2 linked regions of the Lonchura striata genome follow. The protein of the gene in region 2 binds, or shares a complex with, the protein of the main gene of each other region. Links are inferred from orthologs where the notes say so. Each region holds a gene or a part of one and is shown on either strand. Other genes may lie near its edges.

Evidence for each region.
Region 1: the proteins of TOPBP1 (region 2) and PHF8 are in contact, whole or in part, in a crystal structure (PDB 7CMZ), measured with the Homo sapiens proteins. The link is inferred for Lonchura striata from reciprocal best matches to the Homo sapiens genes TOPBP1 and PHF8. Residues at the interface, in NP_008958.2 of Homo sapiens: Gln1298, Cys1299, Arg1314, Asn1315, Glu1316, Leu1319, Arg1369, Ser1406, Arg1407, Gly1410, Phe1411, Arg1413, Leu1414, Arg1465, Thr1466, Glu1467, Ala1470, Asp1471, Gln1475, Asn1483, Tyr1484; in NP_001171825.1 of Homo sapiens: Gly842, Ala843, Cys844, Phe845, Asp847, Ala848, Tyr850, Ile851, Tyr852, Pro853, Ser854, Leu855, Glu856.

What each region holds. Positions count from the first base shown.
Region 1 is NC_134638.1:798,302-805,792, forward strand, and holds the start of PHF8 (histone lysine demethylase PHF8), read right to left. Parts: upstream 3,010-7,491; 5' UTR 2,171-3,009; coding exon 2,073-2,170; intron 1,300-2,072; coding exon 1,214-1,299; intron 882-1,213; coding exon 773-881; intron 29-772; coding exon 1-28. Other genes in the region: serine/threonine-protein kinase WNK3, read right to left, coding at 4,949-5,074, 5,640-5,758, 6,214-6,425, 6,882-7,084. UniProt on the Homo sapiens protein: Histone lysine demethylase with selectivity for the di- and monomethyl states that plays a key role cell cycle progression, rDNA transcription and brain development.
Region 2 is NC_134603.1:113,165,643-113,172,811, forward strand, and holds the start of TOPBP1 (DNA topoisomerase 2-binding protein 1), read left to right. Parts: upstream 1-4,159; 5' UTR 4,160-4,429; coding exon 4,430-4,510; intron 4,511-5,045; coding exon 5,046-5,180; intron 5,181-5,711; coding exon 5,712-5,855; intron 5,856-6,362; coding exon 6,363-6,544; intron 6,545-6,665; coding exon 6,666-6,859; intron 6,860-7,169. UniProt on the Homo sapiens protein: Scaffold protein that acts as a key protein-protein adapter in DNA replication and DNA repair. Composed of multiple BRCT domains, which specifically recognize and bind phosphorylated proteins, bringing proteins together into functional combinations.

The sequences.
Region 1 (7,491 bases), on a different chromosome or scaffold from region 2:
GCTGGGCCGCAGCAGCACCTCGTCAGCACTGGGGGGCAGGGCAGGGGGGTGAGACCCCCAGGGACCCCCTCAGGGACCCCCAGTTCCTACAGGGACCCCCTCAACCCCCACAGGGACCCCCAGTTCCTACAGGGACCCCCTCAACCCCCACAGGGATCACCCAACCCCTCAGCATTTGTTGGGCCACAGCAGAACCTGGTCCGTGCTGGGGGGCAGAGCAGGGGGGTGAGACCCCCAAGAGTGACCCCAGACCCCCACGGGGGACCCCAGTTCCTAAAGGGACCCCCAACCCCTGAACATTTGCAGGGCCACAGCAGAACCTGGTCCATGCTGGGGGGCAGAGAAGGGGGGTGAGACCCCCAAGAGTGACCCCAGACCCTCACAGGGAACCCCAGTTCCTACAGGGACCCCCTCAACCCCACAGGGATCACCCGACCCCTGAGCATTTGTTGGGCCACAGCAGAACCTGGTCCGTGCTGGGGGGCAGAGCAGGGGGGTGAGACCCCCAAGAGTGACCCCAGACCCTCACAGGGAACCCCAGTTCCTAAAGGGACCCCCAACCCCTCAGCATTTGTTGGGCCACAGCAGAACCTGGTCCGTGCTGGGGGGCAGAGCAGGGGGGTGAGACCCCCAAGAGTGACCAACCAACTCCCCCTGGACTGACCAACAGCACCCAGGGCTGACCCTCACTGGCATTGACCCTCACCTGTGCAAGGGGTACAGCCACATTGACCCACACCTGGCACTGCCCCACACCTGGCACTACCCTCACCTGGGGAAGGTGCGGCCCCGCAGCTCCCGGATGAACTGGGCACTGCCCGTGCGGGCCGGACGGCCGGGGTCCTGCTCCGGGGCCTTGGCCGGGCCACGGCGCCGCTTCACTGCGGGACAGGGGGACACGGTGGGGACAGGGGGACACGGTGGGGACACACAGGGACACGGTGGAGACAGTGGGGACAGAAGGACAGGACAAGGACAGAAAGACACAGGTGGGGACACACAAGGACAAAAGAACAGAGTGAGGACACACGGGGACACGGGTGGGGACACACAGGGAAGCAGGGACAGAGGAACAGGGAGGGATCCACACAGAGCCCAGAGCATCTCCCCCGCCCCCATCCCAGTGCATCCCAGTCCCTCCCAGTGCCAGCCACTGACAGAGAGCCTCTGTCCCCCCACCCCAGTCCCTCCCAGTCCTCCCAGTCCCACTCACTGACGGAAGGCCCCCTGAGCACAGCGCACTGGGGGCAGTGGTACAGGTCGATCTCCGCCGCCGCCTCCTCCTCCACCCCCACGCAGCTGTGGGGACACCCCAGTAACCACCAGGCACCTCCCCAGTAACCCCCAATGCCTCCCAGTGACCACCAGGCACCTCCCCAGTAACCCCCAATGCCTCCCAGTGACCACCAGGCACCTCCCCAGTAACCCCCCATCACACCCCAGAACTCTCTTTGTACCTCCCAGTCCCTCCCAGTATTCTGAAGACCCCCCCAGACTTCTCCCAGTGCCCTCTAGTACCACCCAGGCTTCTCCCAATCCTTCCCAGTTGCCTCTCAAATCCCTTCCAGTACCCCTGAACTTCTCCCAGTCACCTCCAGCACCCTCCAGATACCTCCCAGACTTGTCCCAGTCCTTCCCAGTACCCCCAGTCCCTCCCAGCCTTCTCCCAGTCCTTCCCAGTGTCTCCCAGTCCCCTCCAGCACCCTCCAGATGCCTCCCAGTACCTCCCAGACTTGTCCCAGTCCTTCCCAGTGCATCCCAGTACCCCCAGTCCTTCCCAGACGTCTCCCAGTCTCCCCACAGTGCCTCCGAGTCTTCTCCCAGTTCCCCCCAGTGCCTCCCAGTCCCCTCCAGCACCCTCCAGATGCCTCCCAGTCCCCTCCAGCACCCTCCAGATGCCTCCCAGTACCTCCCAGACTTGTCCCAGTCTTTCCCAGTGCCTCCCAGTACCCCTAGTCCCTCCCAGACGTCTCCTAGTCCCCCCCCCCCAGTGCCTCCCAGTCCCCTCCAGCACCCTCTGGATGCCTCCCAGTACCCCCAGTCCCAGTCCCCCCCAGTGCTCCCAGTCCCACCTGCCGTGGAACCAGTCCTGGCAGCCATCGCACTCGATCATGAAGCGGGTCACGTCGTAGGGCAGGCGGCACAGGCAGTACACGGGCACCGAGGCCATGGCCGGGCCCCCGGGGCGACCCCCGACCCTACGGACCCCCGCGACCCCCCCCGGCCCGGGACATCCGCGCGCTGCCCGCCAGACCCCCGAAAATCCCCTCAAAAAAAAAAATAAATAAACCAAAAAACACCCTCAAAATCACTCCAAAGGCAGCCTCAAAAAGATCTCCAAAACAGCCTAAAAAAACCCAAAACCAGCCTCAGAATCCCCCCAGAACAACCTCAGCAAAACCACAAGAACAGCCTCGAAAAGCGCCCCAAAAACACGCCTGAAACAACTCCCTCAAAAAGAAAAAACTAAAAAAAAAAAAAAAAAAAACCCAAAATCAACCCCTAGGCTGCTCCCCTATAAACACCCCCAAAGCCCCCCCAGATCGCGGCCAGCGGAGGGCCCTGAGGGGAATTGGGGAGCACAACCCCTAAAAAAACCAATATGGGTCGGGGGCACCCCAAAAGGGCCTGCGGAGATTGGGATCCCCCTCAGGTATTGATGAGAGCCTGAGACCTCCCCCAAAATTACACAGATGTAGGGAGACCCCTCCAAGGGTCACCGAGGCACTGTGACCCCCTCCCCGAGGCCCAGAGCCCCCCAAAAATGCGCCCGCAGGGTGCCCCCTACTCCTATTGCGTGTGGGGACCCCCAAAAGCGCCGCCGGGCCCGGGGTCCCCTCACAGCGCCCGCGGGGCCCCGGCCTCCCCCTCCTCCCGCGCTGTGGAGTCCCCGAGACCCCCTCAAAGACCCGCGGGACCCCCCTAAAAGCTTTGGGGATCCCCAAATAGCCGCCGACACCCCCACAAAGCCGACGGGACCCCCCGAGGCCTGCGGGCCGCCGCGAGGCCTGCGCCCCCCCCCCACCGCCACCTCCCGACTAGGCCGCAGCCCGCCCCGGCAAGGCCCAGCGCTTCTCGCGGCCGCTCCTCCGCCGCCGCCCGGTCGCTACCGCCGCTGCCGGCCCCGGGCCCGGTGCTGCCGCCGCCGCCGCGGCCTCTGCGCGCTCCGGGCCGCCCGGGAAAGTTTTATTCAAACGCGGAAACGGGGAGGGAGAGGGCGGGGCCCGGCCGCCATTTTGGCCGCGTCGCGCCGCCATCTTGGGAAGGGCGAGGGCGCCCCCATTGGGTGGGCGGGGGGCGGGGCCGCCATCTTGGGCGCGGCGCCGCCTTCGCCAGCTCGAGTGTCGCGGTCCGGCCGCCATGTTGGGAGTGGCGCGCACCAGCCACGCTTTTATTTCTCACATTTTAGGATTTTTTTTTTTTTCCCGCGCTTTTTAACAATTTCCCCACAAAACAAACGCCTTCCCCACCCTCTCGAACCAGAACACTCGAGAATTCACCCCGAAACCTCGCTGGCTTGGTGAAGGGGTGAGGTAGATGAGAGGAAAACACGACAAAATGACCCAAAAATGGGCTGAGGGAGGGGTACAGGAATGAGAGGGGGTTGTTGCACCAGTATGACCAGTATGGGCGGGGTGGGTCACCAGTAAACCCAGTACAGCCCACCTGCCTCCGCTGTGGTCACATTGGGAGAAATTCCAGGCCTGTGAGGGGCTTTGGGTGAAAAATGAGAATTTTGGGGGCTCTGGAGTGTTTTGAGAGGAAAAAAAAAGAATTTTTAGATAAATGAAAGGTTGGGGTTCAACTGTTTGAGTTTTAGGGCAAAACAAGGCCATTTAGGGGCTAAAAATTTGGGTTGCTTCATGTGGGGAAAGAAGAGTGACAAGGCCCAAAAAAAGGGATTTTTGTGTGAAATGAGGAGATTTTGGGGATGAAAATAGCGATGATACCCTGTGGGGGAAGGGCAGGCCCTAAAAGAGACTTTTTTGGATGAAATTATGCGATTTGGGGAGCAAAACCAGGGGTAATGTTGTGGGAGGGGTAAAAAAAGGGGAGATAGGCCCAAAAAAGGGGTTTTGGGGTGAAACAAGGCAATTTTGGGGCCAACAAGTGGCATCACATTTGGGGAGGTGAAAAAGATTAGTGGAAAGGCCACAAAAAACGAGATTTTTTGGGGTGAAATGAGGTGATTTGGGGGCTAAAAAATGGGGACACCTCATGCAGAGAGGGAAAGGCCCAAAAAAGGGGATTTTGGGGTAGAATGAGGGATTTAGGGCAGAAAACTGGGGTGGGCAGGGCACAAAAAAGGGGAGTTTTGGAGTGAAACAAGGGGATTTGGGGCACCAGGAAGTGCGGTCACCTTGCAAAGGGGGAATGACCCAAAAAAAGGTGGGGTTGGGATACAATAGAGAGATTTTGGGGCCAAAAAGGGGGGATTTGGGGTCAAAATGAGGTGGTTTTGGGGCCAGAAATTGGGGTTCGGGGCGCTTGAGTATCCTAAAAAGGGGATTTTGGGGGTGAATTGAGGCCAAAAAGTGGGTTCAGCCCACATGGGCAGCAAAAAAGGGGAAATTTTAGGGCAAAATAAGGCAATTTTGGGGCCAGAAATAGGGGTTCGGGGCGCTTGAGTATCCTAAAAAGGGGATTTTGGGGGTGAATTGAGGCCAAAAAGTGGGTTCAGCCCACATGGGCAGCAAAAAAGGGGAAATTTTAGGGCAAAATAAGGCAATTTTGGGGCCAGAAATAGGGGTCACAGCACAGGACCCAAAATAAGGGGAAGTTTGAGGTGAAACGAGGTCATTTTAGGGCTGGAAATTTGGGGTCACCAAATGCGGGGAGGGGGGTAAAACAAGGGGGTTTTGGGGTGAAACAAAGCAATTTCGGGGCTGAAAATTGGAAGTTTGACCCAAAATCTGGGTGTTGGAGGGGTCAGGGTCTGGGGCCCCCCTCACTCTGCCCCCGGGGGGAGGGGGCTGCCCCCCCCACGCAGGGCAGGTTTTGGGGGGGGCAGCTCCCCCCATTTTCGGGGGGTCCCACGAGTGCCGCGCAGGGTGGAGACCCAGGAGGAGGTGGCCTGGAGGGAGTGGGGGGCAAAAAAAGTGGTGTTCAGGTTTTGGGGATCCCCCCCAGACCCCCAAAAAGGGGGTGAAGTGCACCCCCAAGCCCCCAAACCCTCCAAAAACGACTGTGGGGATCCCCCAGACACCAAAAAAGGAAGTTCAGGGTCCCCCTCAAGCCATGCCAGCCCCCCAAGATGCCCCCAGCCCCCCAAAAATGGGGTGAAGCTCCCCAAAATGGGGTGCAGCCCCCCCCAATAGATCCCCTCATACCCCCAAAAAGGGGGTTCAGCTCCCTAAAAGCAATCTCAACCCCTCCCCAAAAAACCCTCACAGCTTTCCCACCCGCCCCGAGACTCCCAAAAATGGGGTGCATGGCCCCTGTAGACCCCCAAAATCCCCTGAGCACCTCAAAAATGGGATGCAGCCCCCCAATAACCATCTCAGACCCCCCAAAAAATCCCCCCAGACTCCCAAAAAGCCCTCCCGACCCCTAAAAATGGGATACAGGACCCTTCTAATCCCCCAAAAAAGGGGTGCAGGCATCCCAGACCCCCCCAAAAGTCCCCCCCAGCCCCCCACCTGGGCCCTGGCCGTGTCCTGGACCCACTCGTCCACCAGCCGGTGCAGGTCGTCGGTGAAGAGCCCCTTTTTTGGGGGGGCCGGGGGGATCGGGGGGCCCGGGGAGGGAGCTGAGGCTTCTGTGGGTGAGGGAGGGGAGTTTGGAAAACAGGGGAGCGCCCCAGGGCCCACCTGCACCCAAAAACCTCCCCCTGCACCCCAAAACCCCTCCCTGCACGGCAAAACCTCTTTTTACCCCAAACTGCGCACCCTCAAAATCCCAAAATCCCTCTAAAAATTCCCCTTTTTACCCCTAAACCTCCCCCTTCATGCACAAAATCCCCTCTTTGTACCCCAAAACCTCCCCCTGCACCCCAAAATCCCCTCCTTGCTCCCCAGCATCTCCTTTGCACCCCAAACCCCTCTTAGCCTCAACCTCCCAACACCCCAAACCTTTCATACCCCAAAACCCCCTCCCCCTGCACACCAAAACCTCCTCTTTTTACCCCAACCTCCTTCCCCCACCCCAAAATCCACTCTTTGTCCCCCCAAATCCCCTCTTTTCCCCCCAAAATCCCCTCTTTTCCCCCCAAACCTGTCAGGGCCACTCCCCGGCCCCTCCCTCGTGCCCGGGCCCCCCGAGGCCGCCTCGGGGACCCCCCGTGGCCGCGCTGGGGGGGGGTCCCACCGCCCCCTCCCCATTTCGGGGGGTCCCCCCGGGCCTCTTTGAGGGCCCGGAGCCGCCGGTGCAGCTCCCGCAGCTCCCGGTCCTGCCGCGCCCGCAGCTCCAGAACCTCCTGGATGTGCCTGGGGGAACCAGGGGGGGGTCACGGGGGTCCCCAAAACCCTCCCAGGGCCCCCAAAACGTCCCCAAGACCCCCAAAATCTCCCCTGGGCCCCCAAACTCTCTCAGGGGGCTGCACTGGCAGCTCCTGGGACCTCCTGGACGTGCTTGGGGGACGTCCCCAAACCCCTCCTGGGACTCCCAAAACCCTCCCAGGACCCCCAAAACGTCCCCAAGACCCCCAAAATCTCCCCTGGGCCCCCAAACTCTCTCGGGGGGCTGCACTGGCAGCTCCTGGGACCTCCTGGACGTGCTTGGAGGGGTCCACCGGGGTCCCAGTCCTGCCACACTCACAGCTCCAGCACCTCCTGGATAAGCTCAGGTGGGGTCAGGGGGTGTCCCTAAACCTCTCCAAGCCACCTTGGGACCCCCAAAACCTCCTCAGGACCCCCCAAATCCCCCCAAAGCCCCTCACTCACTTTTCCCGCAGCCGCCGCAGCTGCTCCCGCAGCGCCTCGTCCTCGGGCTCCGAGTCCCCGTCGCTGCTCAGGGGGGTCTCGGGGGACCCCGGGGGGAGCAGGGGGGCCCCGGGGGGGTGTGGGGGTCCCCCCAGCCCCCCACTCTCACTGCCTGAGCTGGGACCCCCCCAGTCGCCCTCGGGGTCGGCGGGCTCAGGAGGTGGCTAGGGAGGGACAGGGGGAGAGAGGGGTGACAGGAGATGGGGGTGAAGAGGGGGAGATTTGGGATCCCTGGGGCAGTTTTGGGAGTCCCTGGGACAGATTTGGGGGTCTCTGGGGTAGTTTTGGGGATCTCCGAGGCAGTTTGGGGGGTCCCTGGGGCAGTTTGGAGGTCCTTTGGAACAGTCTGGGGAGTCCCCAGGGCAGTTTGGGGGTTTCTGAGATAGTTCTGGGGTCCCTGGGGCAGTTTGGGGATTCCTTTGGCCAGTTTAGGGGGGATCCCTGGGGCAAATTTGGGGGGTCTCTGGGGTGGTTTGGGGGTCCCTGGGATAACTCTGGAGTCTCTTGGGGTAGTTCTGAGGTCTCTGGGGCAGTTTTGGGGGTGTCCATGTGGCAGTTTTAGGGTTCTTGT
Region 2 (7,169 bases):
AAAAAATCACAGAACACATACTTACCAAAATTTGCATTTACTCACAGACTTGGGTATTTTAAAATACATGAAAAGAAGGTAGAAAATTACCTGACTGGGGTCCTGAGCTAGCAGGCTAACAGATTTTTTGAAGTGAACTAGAGGTTTTAAAGTTACACTGGTTACTTAGAAACATCTCTTGACTTTGTACATTACACAAGATACCTCACTCATTTAAACTTAGTCTCAGACATATTTTTTACTGGTCTGGTTGTGTATCTCTATAAATAATGCTAAGTTACTAAGGTCCATCATACAGCATGAAATGGAAAATTTTATATACTTAGAATGGACTCTGATATTTTATGGTATATTTTCTTTTGTGTATGGTTGAGTCCTAACCACTTAGATCTTTCTCACAATAGTTCTAAATGCTAGGGGCTAATACCTAGTGATTTTTGAGTTTGATACATCTGAAGAGTCTCTTTTACTCATCTGCTTTTTTATATGCTTCTCATGCTAAAAATATAATATTACTGAGCTATCATTTAAAAACTAATGTCCTATAGCTGATCAGAAAATAAGTGTGGTAACAGTATTTTAAAAATAAAGTATTTCACATGGAGCTTTAACCAGGTTGGATCAAATGTGAAGAATGACTCAAGACTGTTTTAGTTCTTTAGTGCAGTGATTTTGCTTGCCTTTTTTGTAATCTGCACAAGAGAAAGACTTTAAAAAAAAAAATGAATGCAGGCATAATGGCTATCAAACCACAGCAGTGGTGAAACAGATGTGAAAATTATTTCTGAACTGGATTGACACAGATATTTTTAGAGACAAGTGTATGTTATAAACATTTAAGTTAACAAAACATCTGAATAAGTAAAAATACTCCCTGTTCTACAGAGTCAAGGGCACAGACCATTTATCTTTTGTTTTAGAAACTGGTATCATTTGGGGGGCTATGACAATGGGGGGTTTTTTTGCCATTTAGGAGTCTTACAGAGAGCAAAATTCCATAATTAGTAAGACTGGTGGTTAAATACGACTGATTCTCCATAAAGCTCAGAACCTGTAAAACATCAGAACACATAGAAAACACGAAATAAATACTGGGCTACTCAGGTGCTTAAGAATGTACCACAAGCAGAGTATTAATTAATTTGGACCAATTTTTACTTCTAACAGTTATTATACTTCCCCTAAGACATATGGTATTGGACAGCTTTGGAGACAGCAAATTAAAAGTGACTATTTTGTTTGCTGTTACTATCCAAAAGGGGAATTTCTGTTTCCCAGCTTCTCTAGACAGCCTTTTAAATAATATTTTCAAAGAAGCAAATGTTTCAAGAAGTCTCAAAGAAATTTTACAGTGGAAAGTGCTTGTGAAAGCAGGAAGTACAATAGGGAAATCTTTACTTATCAAACCACTTGTTCTGTGTTATTTATTTTGTCATATTAAGCACCTCTTTGGAACTACATCCACATGGAAAGTGTAACAGAAGAATACCACTCCTCATTTTCAGCTGCATACTCTTCTTTAAGGCTCTGTGCATCAATTACTTTCTGGACGTTGTACATGCTTTTAAAATGTGTAAATATATCAGTGTAATGACAAATACACACCTTCTAGTCAGGCTTTTTTGTTTTTTTTTTTACTTACAGAATACATTTATAGAAAAATTTTATATTTTATTCTGCTCTTGATAAGAACTTTCGCTTGGTCTTGAAAACACTTTGCAGTTAGGAAACTACTTTCTCTGGAGGGCTTTGATGCCAGACACAGTAATGCCTCTTTGTCAACCTTTCAGGAGCAAAGCACAACAACCAAACGTGCATGGGCACACTGATAAGCTTTCTGAGAGGCATGTAAAAACTGCCCTGATTCTCCTACAACATGGACTTCTAATAATGGATTTTTCTAAGCAACAAGCAGCTTCTGGAGGAAAGAGGTGGAACTGAGGTTGATGGCCCAGTGGTTTGGCAGCTTATCAAGAGTTTCCACCACTTCACTGGAAAGGGATCACACTTCAGCACATGAAAACAAGTCATATTTCAGTGACAGCAATGAACCGTGATCCACATTCAAGCAGAAAATTGAAAACTCAGTATTTGGTTGCACTGCTGATACATTCAGTTAAGGACTCTGCCAATAACTGTAACAATAGTTTGTATTATACGATCCATTAAAGTTGGTTAACATTTTGTTAGACTTCTTGATCTTTTCCCACCTCCATCCCCTTATTTTTTACAACAGCCCAGAAGAATGAAAAAGGAAAATAAATTCCTCTTCGTAACACTGAAAGAACAGGCAGGACAAAATTGGGGTTTTACAAGTGGACCAAGAACCAGCATAATCAAATAACACAGCATCATCAAGATAAATCCACTTATAATTTAATAATAAATACGCTATTTTGGTTGTCATGACATTTGATTTTGTTTACATTTACCAATGGGAAAAGCAGTATCTCAGGCCATTCATACTGATCCTAGATGATTTATATTAGTGGTTTTAAAAATAAATAAGCGTATAAAGGAATTCCAGTGTATTTAGTGACCTAAGTATTAGGTCATCTAGATAAAATCTAACAATTGCAGCGGACTTGTGCACAGTTCTTCAGTTCTTAAGATCACAGTGCCACCCTGTGGTCTCACTGTAGAGTTTGATGCCAGCAAACATGCACTACTCCAGGCAGGCTTTTGGTGCTTTTCTCGTTCAAAACATATTCTAGGATGAATTTCTTCACACAAAGGGTGATTAGGCATTGGAATGGGCTTTCCAATGGGTGGTGTCACTGTCTTTGGAGGTGTTTAAGGAGAGACTGTATGTAGCTCTTGGTGTGGTACCACATCTGCCATCTGGTTGACAGGATGGTGTTGGGTCATGGAATGGACGCGATGATCTCAGAGGTCTTTTCTAACCTAATTAATAGTGTGATCTCTTTCCCTAAGAAAATCTCCTAATGGAATGACTCCCCCACTAGAGGCATTATCAGTATTACGCAAACAGCAGCAAGGCACTGTGGTCACTAAGAGTGGAATGAAGATCCATCGGATGTGTAGGCAGGGTCCCCCTGTCATCATGTAGGCAGATGCCAAGAATGTGGTTCCGGATTCCAGACCTTGCTCTGGAAGGAGAGCATTTGATGTTCTTGCCCACAGCTTGGACGCTACAACCTACAAGAATGAAAGTGAAGTGCAAGGTCCTACACCTGGGTCAGGGCAATGCCAGACACAGCTCCAGGTTGTGTGTAGAAGCGATGGAATGCAGCCCTGTGGAGAACAACCTGGGGGTGATGGTTGATGAAAAATGCAACTCACGCCACTCTTCTCCGGCCACAATTACCATTTCCCAACTATTTTTTGGTTTTCTCTCTTCTTAAATATATTACTATAGATACGTTATCGCCATTTCTAATTGGCCCAATCCACCTTTGGATCGTCCAGGGCTTGGCTCTGCTGGACATGGAGGAAGCTTCCAGAGGCTGCTCAAAGCAGCCACCCCGGCTACCCTGGTTTTTAACCAGGCTGTGCAAACCCAATGCAGAGCATCTGAAGGGGGCCTGCAGGGAAGCCAGAGGGGGACTCACAGTCAGGAACTGCCCTGATAGGAATAAGGAGTAATGTATATATAGGGCAAAAATTGAATAATATGGGGCACAAATTGAAAGAAGGGACAGACATTTAGGTCAGATATCAGGAAGAATTTTTTTCCTGTGACAGTGGTGAGGAGCGGGTTGCCCAAGAAGGTTGTAGATGCCCCATCCCTGGTAGTGGTCAATGCCAGGATAGGGTATAGCGTATTCAGCGGGGGCCATGCAGGGGAGGCTGGGGCCAGACGCCCGCTCAGCACCCTCCCAAGGCGTTATCCCTCGGTGATTCCCTAAGTTCCGCTCCCGTCTCCCCCAGCGGCCCCGCGCGCCCTCAGCGAGCCGCCCGCCCCGCCCGCTCCCCACGCGCGCGCCCAGCGCCCCCTGCGGGCGGAGCGCGGGCACGCCCCGCCCACATCCGCCCAGGCCCCGCCCCCTCTGCCCGCCCCGGCAGCGCTAGCGAATCAAAAACCCCGGCCCCGCCCCGCGCCTGCGCAGTGCCGGCAGCGCCGCTTTCCCGCGCGGGTGAGGGGCCGGGCCGGGTCCGTCGGGGCTGGGAGCGCCGCGCACCGGGAGCGCCGCGCACCCGCTGCCCGGCAGGGACCCGTCCGTGCGGGCCTTGGCCCTGTGGGGAACGGGCCTCCCGGTGGGGAACGGGCTTCCCGGTGGGGAGGGGGCTTCTCGGTTGGGGTCGGCCAGTCCCCGCCCCTCCGTGCGCGTTTGAAGCCGGTGCCGCCGAGGCCGGGCGGCGTGTGCTGGGCCCCTGGCCCGGCGCGGACAGCGCCAGGGGCGAGAGGGCTTCCGGGCTGCGGCGGGAATGTCAGCGCGCTCACTGGGTTTTGCTTCGTAGTTGAAGGATGAGAAGTAGTAAGGACCCGTTTTTTGTGAAGTTCATAAAGTCTGCCGGGAGCTCGGAGTATTTTTCTAAAGCTCTTGAGGTAAGTGGGTTTGGTGACCTGGGTGAACTTGGTGAACTGGAGTGTGATTTCTGTGTCGGAGTTCGGCTGTATATGCCATACAATAAACTAACTTACGTCTGTACTCCTGGAAATAAATCTCTTTCTATAGCAGGGGTGTTAGTGTGTAGTAAAGCTTGTTGAACAAGAACAGTTTTGTTGGAGAGCCTCATGAAGTAGCTTCAGTTTCAAAACCTGGTGACATATAGGGAAGGGACATGTAAGGCCTGGATGGTGGTCGCTCATCTGAGCACTCTGCATTGTTTTACACCTTAGGAGGTTAGTGGGAGCCAAAGGCACCATATGGCAGGATCAGGTCCTGAAGGCTTCTTTGCGAAATATTTAAGTTAGAATATTGTGAAGAGGTGTTTTAGCCCTTCTGCCAATACCTGTTTGCATAGTAGCTTTGTTGTGAGCTGTTGCAAGGACGTGCACTTGTGTAGTTTGCACAGGATTGCTTCTTTATTAATTATTTGCTAATTAAATAAATGTTGTTGTACACATCATTTACCTGCAGGCTATAAAAGAATTCCAGTCAGAAGAACATCTCCAGATCCTTGAAGAAGAAACAGTACTCAATATAAAAGAAAATGATAAGTCACTTTACATTTGTGATCCTTTCAGTGGCATGGGTTTCAGTCATCTCAAAAAGGTATGGCATCCAGCAACTTACTTTGAGCTCTGTTCTTTCCTTTTTAGAAGCACTCATGTCCATATTTATATCCTGCATGTTCTCTTCTGCACTGCGTGTAGCAGTGTATGATTATTATTTATTATTAATCATTATGCAAAGCATAATGATTATTTTTAAACATTTGGAAAAGTAAATGGCATGTTCTCTGCTGGAGTCCCTGAGCTCCTGATAAAGTTGATTTGGTTTCATCTGCAAGGTATTGTCTAATGGACACAGGCTAGCTGGAGTCCTTTGGCCTTAGCCATAGCATCAGCTGTTTTTACTGAGTCAGAAAATCTACAAGGATTGTACAGAAAAACCAGAACTGAAAGTAAAACCAGAACTGAAAGTAAAACCAGAACTGTCAGCTACCTGGAGGTTGTAGAGAAGAAGGCGGAGGACAGACCAAGAGCCCTGCCTTCTTCAGAATTCAGGGACAAGAAAAGCCTTCCTGATGCAAATGAACACCCTGCTTATTTTCTTTGTGCTTTCCCTGTTATTTTATTGCAGCTTGGCTGTAGGATTGTTGGACCACAGGTAGTTCTGTACTGCATGCAGTCGCAGCGCTGTGTCCCAAGAGCTGAGTATCCCGTGTACAACATGACCATGGCTGATGTCACAGTGTCCTGTACCAGCCTGGAGAAGGACGTGAGGGTAAGGCCTTCCCAAGGATGGATTGTTTAGCTGGTTATCATTGATACTTGCTTTGCATTGTTCATTAGTAAGGCAGCAGTCAGAGCATATATGTCTCATTGTGCCTGTGTCTAGATCCATCAAGTCTTCTGTACCTTGTGGACTATGTGTGGTCTATTAATGTATTAATACACCTCAAATATGATTATATATGTTTACTTTATATTTATTCTGATATTTTTTTCTAGTACTTCCTGAAATGGTAACCATCTGCAAAGTTTTGCTCATAGACCACAATTGTCATGTTTTTATTTAGGGTATATATTTAGGGTATATATTATGTTCATCATAAGTGCAAATAAAATGGAAATTACAGTTTCCTTTTTATGGCTTCCATATATATCTAGTTGGTATTTTTAGGGGAAATCGTGGACAATTGAAATCCATGTTTTTGGTGCAAAGTGAACATGACTGCCACATAGGTTCTTTTTTCTCCTGTCTGTTTTCTCTGTTTTTTTCCCCATCCAGGAAGAAGTTCATAAATATGTGCAAATGATGGGTGGATGTGTATACAGAGATCTCAACATGTCAGTAACTCATCTTATAGCTGGAGAAGTTGGCAGCAAGAAATACTTGGTAGCTGCTTCCCTGAAGAAACCTATTTTGCTTCCCTCTTGGGTTAAGACATTGTGGGATAAATCTCAGCAAGGGTATGAAAAAAACAAAACTGATTTTGTTTTGGATAATGGTAATTCTTATGTACAGACTAATTTCTTTTTCATAGTTGATTTTACTTGCAAAATGACTGTTTTCTCTCATTCATTCCTGTAGCATGGTGAGGTACACTGATGTTAACGTGGAAGACTACGTCTGTCCTGTGTTCCTTGGCTGCACAATTTGTGTCACTGGCTTAAGCAGCTCCGACAGGAAAGAAGTGCAGCGCCTCACTACTGAGCATGGTGGGCAGTACACGGGCCAGCTGAAGATGAATGAATGCACTCACCTCATAGTTCAAGAGCCAAAAGGTAAAACTGACAGAATTAATGCTGTTTTCACGTCTGGAGTTGAAGTAGTGTGAAGGTGTGTAAGCACAGGAGCTTGAACTGCCTCTGTGTCTGCTTCAGTGTTGCTCTTACTGCTTCTCTGTTGATGGAAAGAGTAACACAGGGCACCTTTGTTTTGGTGTAAAGTCATGAGAAAGAACAAAAGAGGAAAAAAAGCCAGATAGATAGATGGCATTCAAAGAAAGGAAAAGGGAGAATCCTAGAGGGGATAAAGAAAATAATTTTTTTGGGGAGAGCAGGATAGGACTTAATTTGTACTGTGATTGAAATT